2 linked regions of the Arabidopsis thaliana genome follow. The protein of the gene in region 1 interacts with the protein of each later gene in a pairwise test. Each region holds a gene or a part of one and is shown in the gene's direction. Other genes may lie near its edges.

Evidence for each region.
Region 2: the proteins of TBP2 (region 1) and HB1 interact in a two-hybrid assay, tested with the Arabidopsis thaliana proteins (one study listed by BioGRID).

The regions. Positions count from the first base shown.
Region 1 is NC_003070.9:20,726,449-20,730,200, reverse strand, and holds the start of TBP2 (TATA binding protein 2), read left to right. Parts: upstream 1-2,109; 5' UTR 2,110-2,373; intron 2,374-2,714; 5' UTR 2,715-2,717; coding exon 2,718-2,794; intron 2,795-2,889; coding exon 2,890-2,977; intron 2,978-3,088; coding exon 3,089-3,160; intron 3,161-3,246; coding exon 3,247-3,297; intron 3,298-3,422; coding exon 3,423-3,467; intron 3,468-3,611; coding exon 3,612-3,704; intron 3,705-3,752. Other genes in the region: AT1G55530 (RING/U-box superfamily protein), read left to right, coding at 1-729. UniProt on the Arabidopsis thaliana protein: General transcription factor (GTF) that functions at the core of the DNA-binding multiprotein factor TFIID.
Region 2 is NC_003071.7:6,982,090-6,985,841, reverse strand, and holds HB1 (hemoglobin 1), read left to right. Parts: upstream 1-2,064; 5' UTR 2,065-2,319; coding exon 2,320-2,432; intron 2,433-2,514; coding exon 2,515-2,629; intron 2,630-2,708; coding exon 2,709-2,825; intron 2,826-2,922; coding exon 2,923-3,060; 3' UTR 3,061-3,311; downstream 3,312-3,752. Other genes in the region: PDV2 (plastid division2), read left to right, coding at 486-767, 1,129-1,770. UniProt on the Arabidopsis thaliana protein: Phytoglobin that reduces nitrite to nitric oxide (NO) under anoxic conditions (e.g. during flooding or in waterlogged soil). May not function as an oxygen storage or transport protein.

The DNA.
Region 1 (3,752 bases):
ATTCTCAGGAGAAGGAGAAGACATTCCGCTGCTGTTTTGCAGTTGCTTCAGGGGATACGAGCAGGGTTGTCTGTAGAATCTGAGAGTACTGGTAATGGAGGTAATAATCCGGGACGGGTGATCTTGATCAATACCTCCAATCAGACTATCACGGTTCAAAACTCTGCTGATATGGATTCTGTACCTGCTGGTTCTTTAGGTGACTATTTCATTGGTCCTGGATTTGAAATGTTGCTTCAACGTCTAGCTGAGAATGATCCCAACAGATATGGAACACCTCCTGCTAAAAAAGAAGCTGTCGAGGCTTTGGCTACTGTGAAAATCGAAGAGACTCTGCAATGTTCGGTTTGTTTAGATGATTTTGAGATTGGAACTGAGGCAAAGCTGATGCCCTGTACGCACAAGTTTCATAGTGACTGCTTGTTACCATGGCTTGAGCTTCACAGTTCATGCCCGGTTTGCAGATATCAGTTACCTGCAGATGAAGCCAAGACTGATTCAGTAACAACAACGAGCGATAACAATGGAAGCAGTAGTGCTTCTGCTACAACCAGCCATGGAGCTGAGAACAGCGATGGAAACCGGCGCCAAGAAGAAGAAGAAGAAGAAGAAGAGGAGGAGGAGGAGGAGAACGAGAACAATGACGGAAGCGGATTCTCGATCCCGTGGCCGTTTAGCACCTTGTTCTCCTCGTCGCAAGATAGCAATGCACCAACGGATTCTAGTTAAGACATGTTCCCTGAGCAACATAAGCTTTTTGGTGTGATCATGAAATCTCGGTTCTACCTAAATCTGATCTTTTGTCTGTACATAAGTTTCTCAGATTTGGTTGAATGCTACATCTTTGGAAAACAAATATCTTTCAGTTTGTGTTTTTTTAATTGTTTTTGAGCAAATCTTTTGCCGGATTCTGTAAGTCGCTTGTGTGTTTTTTGTTGTCAACCAAAGCCACTTTTGCAACTTAGTTTGTTAAATTAATGCCTTAATGGTAAAATAACAAGATTGGTGGCTGTAGTACGAATTGTGTTGGTAATAAATTATAAATTTAAACATAAAAAGTAATTTAACATTCATCACCTTTGTTGTATGAAATGGAATTGTATAATATTGTATGCCTAATTACTTAGACCGACTCGTTTAATATGTCGTCATCCAAAACAAAATATGATGTCTTTTACTAAACTTAATGAAGTGATGCTTTTTCCTTGTGTTAATCCATGATTGCATTACCATGTAATCTTTTGTTTACGCGTAAACATTAATTAGAATTTATAAAAGCTAGAGTTCACATGTGTAAAATGCGACCAAAGTTACCAACTTTATGCGCTATTAACGAACCTTTTGACATTAACGAACTTAACTTTGATATAGTATATATACTAATATATTAACGTTTCACCAAATCTCCTTGTATATATATAAGTATTGTAGTATCAACTTATTACATTATCTCTCAGATTAGTCATAATCCAAAAGAAGAAGTAATGAATCGTCAGGTTTTATCCCTAATCACTTTGATTATTCTCTTGGTCTCCGCGTACAACACGACTATGGGCCGAACTCTGCCGAGTAAGTGACCGTCTTTGATCATACAAATACAATCACGCATAAACAAAACTCATATTCAGTTCTTAATCTCTTTTTTTATTATTATTATAAATTAAGGGGAAGGAAATGGAGCACAACAATTTGATAATCTAAAAGCTGGTGTCAGACGAAGTGAATCGGCACGTACTCGTCAGAAAGGACCCGGACACTGATGAGTGATGATCTCTAACAAGTTTTAGTTGGCACCTTCATGCAATAATTGATAATCTACTGCTTTGTAATAAGTCCGTCGTTGTGGCGATTCATAGTCTCTACTCGATTCATATTTGTGAACGTGTCTTGAGTTATAGTCTTACATATAGATCCAACAAAAAAACGTATGCTAACACATTCTGTAATAGAACACGTGGCAGACAAAGAGTGGACGGTTCCCTAAAATTCCAGTAAAGACCGTAACATTAAAATCTAATAAGCTGAATTCCCATAATTACCCTCATCCGACAAAGAGAGGCAAGGGTAGTTTAGGAAAGTATATAGAGGTAATAACGTGTCCTTAAGCTCCACAGATCCAAAGCGCAGATCACAAATCTCATCCCCAGAGAGAGAACCCAGAGAGCGATATTGAAAATCAAAACTCTCTCCTTTATATATAATCCCAATTTACAAATCTCTTTCCCTCTCTAAAAATTTCTTATCTTTGTATAAAAAGCCTTCTCCTTTTTCAAATCATTCACCTTCCTTTCGCCTTTTCGGGGGAATTTCTTCCAATCTGTTGGGTTTACGAAACCCTAGATTTCGAAATTCCGGATTGCTAACTAGCGAAAGGTCTGATTTTGTTTCGTACCCTTTGTTCCTAATGGATTCAATTCCACGGATTTTATCTGAATTGAGTTTCTTCGTAGTTGCTTGTTACGAATTGGATCTCATGTTCTGAAGTTGTGTGTTTCATAGCTTTTCGTTGTTTGATTGTGAAACAATGTTTCTAGATTTCAATTATCAAAACTGGTTTTTAGATAACCAGATTTGGTCAATGAAATTGTAAAGCTTGAAAACAATTTTGTTTCGTGGATGCTTGTTGGTTTGGATCGACATGAGTTTCTGTTTTGCCCTATTTAAGACGAGATTTATAGCTGATGTGTGTGTGTTTACGTTGATTCTTATGTTAGAGAATGGCTGATCAAGGAACGGAAGGGAGCCAGCCAGTTGACCTTACTAAACATCCTTCAGGGATTGTTCCTACTCTTCAGTGAGTTCTCTCTTTTGTGTCTCTGTTTTAAGATTCTGAGTTTGTGCTTTTGTGAATCACAAGATCTTACCTTTTTCTTTTTTGGTTTGTTTCAGAAATATTGTCTCAACAGTGAACTTAGACTGCAAGCTTGATCTTAAAGCCATAGCTTTGCAAGCTAGGAATGCTGAATATAACCCCAAGGTTTTGCTTTCTTTGTGATATTCGTGTTTTAGTAATCGATCATTTTGTTTGGTCTCCACCACTTTGGTTTGTATTTTCGGATTTGGTTTTAATCTGTGTTTTATGTTCCAGCGTTTCGCTGCTGTAATCATGAGGATCAGAGAGCCAAAGACCACAGCGTTAATTTTTGCTTCTGGGAAAATGGTATGTTTTCCTTTGTCACTTTTTCTCTTATGGCCTAATCTTCCATGTCCTTGTTTTGACGTGGCATCTATGCTGTCCAATATTAGGTGTGTACCGGAGCTAAAAGTGAACATCTTTCAAAGCTTGCTGCAAGAAAGGTAAACTAGCTCATCTCAATACTGTCTGATGTTCTTCTTCTAGCATCACTGTAGTTAGAAACTTGTTACAGCTCTAGTAGGTATTTGTTCTCTGTTATATTAAAGAATTCCTTTTTGTTGTTCAGTATGCTCGGATTGTTCAAAAGCTTGGCTTTCCTGCAAAGTTCAAGGTACTCATATGTCTCTCTCTGGTCCTGATCCAGCACACACTGTGTTATTCATTTTTATCTCAATCAACAATTCGTGTGTATTTTTATCGGAAGGAAAAATTACGTATAAAGTCTAGTAATAAAATTGCTGATTACATTTTGCAGGATTTTAAGATACAGAACATTGTAGGCTCATGTGATGTCAAATTCCCCATTAGGCTTGAAGGTCTTGCATACTCTCATAGTGCTTTCTCAAGTGTAAGTGATCTCAAGCATTGTGATCATATATACTTGTAACATGGGTGT
Region 2 (3,752 bases), on another chromosome or scaffold:
GCTAACCATAGTTCAAAGAAAAAGAATTGTTACAAAAACGATTCTACGATAATTTTTATAATTTATAATAAATAATAAATCTAGACGGTAAAAAATAATAACTTAAAATTTACGTTTTTTCTGACATAGAAGTCTATATTTTAGTACACAGATTCTTTTATTTTATTTATGTAGAATGATATGTCAGATTTGTCATCTTTGTTAGAGTCCAAAATTGGCCTCTTCCAAATTTCTTATGGTTCTTTTTCATTTTTTCCCCAAATTTAAATAAATTCAATAAAAATTTGTTGATTTTTTGTGGCCGTTGATTAAAACCGGGAAAGCAGCAGAAACAAATCTGAAAATCTGAGTTAAGCCAACCACAAAACAAATCCACTCCAAACACTCCAAATTACTTGTCTCTCTTCTCTTCCCCACCACCACTACCTTACAAAAACCCTAACCCTAATTTCTCCACCCCCAAATTCTTTTCCTCAATCTCTGCGATGGAAGACGAAGAAGGCATCGGGTTAATTTTAGCCAGAGCCACCGAGCTCAGACTCAAGATCAGCGATTGTATCGATAACTCCAGTACCACCGTCAGCGACAACGGCGATGGAAACGAGGATCTTTCTCCCGGAGAAGGAAGAAAAAGCGAGATTATTGGGAATCAAGACAAGGATTTTGACTCAATCAGCTCTGAGGATGTAGATGAAGCAGAAGCTGAACGGCTTTTGCGTATTCGTGATGCTCTTGAAGCTCTTGAGTCTCAGCTTGCTTCTTTACAGGTTTGAACCAAACCCTAAAAATTTCCTCTGCTTCTCATCAAGTTTCTGGCTTTTAGTGTAGTATTGGACATTGAAAGTGTTAGGTTCTGGTTTTAACTGAAATTGAGTCTGAATTTGCTTCAAGTCTGGTCTATAATGTCTGAATTGCTTCTTTACAGGTTTGAACCAAACCCTAAAAAATTCCTCTGCTTCTCATCAAGTTTCTGGCTTTTAGTGTAGTATTGAACATTGAAAGTGTTAGGTTCTGGTTTTAACTGAAACTGAGTCTGAATTTTGCTTCAAGTCTGGTCTATAATGTCTGAATTGCTTCAAGTCTTGGTGGTGGTTAATGTGGGGATGGTTTTTGGTTTGTGGTGAACAGAATCTAAGGCAAAGACAACAATATGAGAAGCAACTGGCTCTCTCTGAGATTGATTACAGTAGGAAAATGTTGCTTGAGAAGCTTAAGGAGTACAAAGGGAAAGATTTTGAAGTGTTACGTGAGACTACGACTTTTGCTGGTGAAAGAGTTGATTATGAGAATGATCTTTTACTTCCTCCTTATCCTGTCCATCCTCCTCTCTCCCTTGGTTTAGATAATAATAATGGTTACCTATCTCACTTACCTTCGAAGAAGAAATCGGATGCGAATGGGTTCGGCTCAGGACATGTGAGGAACGAGGCAGAGGCGAAAAGTCCCAACGGAGGATCTGGAGGTTCGAGTCATGGGGTTATTCGCTTCTTAGGCTCTGTCGCAAAGATCGTGCTTCCAATCATCGGTGTTATCTCTCTATTGTCTGCATCAGGATATGGTCCAGAGATGAGGAAAAGAGGCGCTTCCTTGAACCTTTTTGGACTTCTCCCGCACCGAGCTACCAGAGGGAAGAGAACACCTAACCAATGTCCACCAGGGAAAGTTCTTGTGATTGAAGATGGAGAAGCACGGTGCCTTGTTAAGGAAAGAGTCGAAATACCATTTGACTCTGTTGTAGCGAAACGCGATGTAACTTACGGATACGGTTGAGTTTGAAAGAAATTAAACACCCTCCTCTGTAATGTTCATTGCCTGACATTCAGTGTGTAAAGTTTCAACCTTTTCTTACCTCTTAGATATGAAAGCCACATGGTGCTACATAACTCTCACAAGTTTTGTTCATAGTTGTGCAAATAAATTGGATGAGGGAGAGATTCATTTGAGTAGTATAATCTCTGTTCTGCCAATTTGATCAATAGATTCAGTGTATCCCAACTTATACCACTTGGTGTGGTTGGCCAATACATAAATAAGTAAATTAATGAGATAAAGAGATCTAAAAGACTTTTCTTTAGTGTTTTGACTAATAATTGGTCAAGCCTACCATTACAAACTATGTTCCATTACCAGTACAGAGCACATGGTTTCACTTTTTAACCAAGCAACTTTATCTTAAACTTGCTTATCAAGAACTGTCTCTTCGGTAACACAAAAGGGTCTTTTATCAAAACCTATATATAGGATACTTTTCATAATTGGAGTAAGATCTACAAAACAGAGAGTTGTATACTTTAAATCATTTAGAGGTTGTGAAATATTATGGAGAGTGAAGGAAAGATTGTGTTCACAGAAGAGCAAGAGGCTCTTGTAGTGAAGTCTTGGAGTGTCATGAAGAAAAACTCAGCTGAATTAGGTCTCAAACTCTTCATCAAGTAAGTAATGATCCCATTGATCTCTCTCTATTTTCTTTTTATGTATATAGTCTGAGATATGAACTACTATTTTGAACTGTAGGATCTTTGAGATTGCACCAACAACGAAGAAGATGTTCTCTTTCTTGAGAGACTCACCAATTCCTGCTGAGCAAAATCCAAAGCTCAAGCCTCACGCAATGTCTGTTTTTGTCATGGTAATAATCAATATCAAATAACATGATTTTGCTTATATATTCGAATCAAAGATTGTTGAGTTTTGGGGTTTATTATCAGTGTTGTGAATCAGCAGTACAACTGAGGAAAACAGGGAAAGTTACGGTGAGGGAGACTACTTTGAAGAGACTTGGAGCCAGCCATTCTAAATACGGTGTCGTTGACGAACACTTTGAGGTTAGTAGTTATTTGTCATATCTCAAAATGTTCTTTATCATACAAATATGTTAACTTGATTTTTTTTGGTTGATGTAAAAATGATTTATAACTGCAGGTGGCCAAGTATGCATTGTTGGAGACGATAAAGGAGGCAGTGCCGGAGATGTGGTCACCGGAGATGAAGGTGGCTTGGGGTCAGGCTTATGATCACCTTGTTGCTGCCATTAAAGCTGAAATGAATCTTTCCAACTAAAAAATCATATACTATTATATAGTTGTAAACTTGTAATAAATATTTCATTTTGAATTGTTCTCATGACTGTTGTTCTATTTGGTTTGGTTTGATTTAGTGACAATAATATATATATAGTGTGCATTCCAAAATCCTAATCATTTTGAATACAAGTTTCTTACTAATTGTTTTGCCCAAAAAAAAAATGTTTCTTACAAATTGTATTAAGATTATGATATTTTTGATAGACTTTAAAATAAATATAATTACTTCCAACAGTTTTATTCTCACTAAGTCTTGGCCTTTTACAACCTGTAAATCTTAAGAAATGATGAGCAAAATAGAGAAAAACAGCTACCTAAAAAAGGTAAGATACAAAAACTTTTTACCAGGCTCATGATTTTATCTTAGAACACTTCAATATATAATTGAAAAAATGTCAAAAAAATCATAAACTTTTAAATTTGGTACGTTTAAATCCCCAACTTCCAAAATACCACTAAAATACCAAACTTGTTATTGATTTTAGAATTAATATATAACTTTTGTTGATTTTGTCGTTTTAAGCACGTCGTTAAGTCAATTGACAGAAAAATTAACAGAGTGAAATATTCAGTTAGAAATATATAATTGGTAACTCGTACGAAAATGTTTAAATGTTCAAATTAAATCACTTAAAATAGACTTTACTAAGCTGTCTTACGTAATTAATT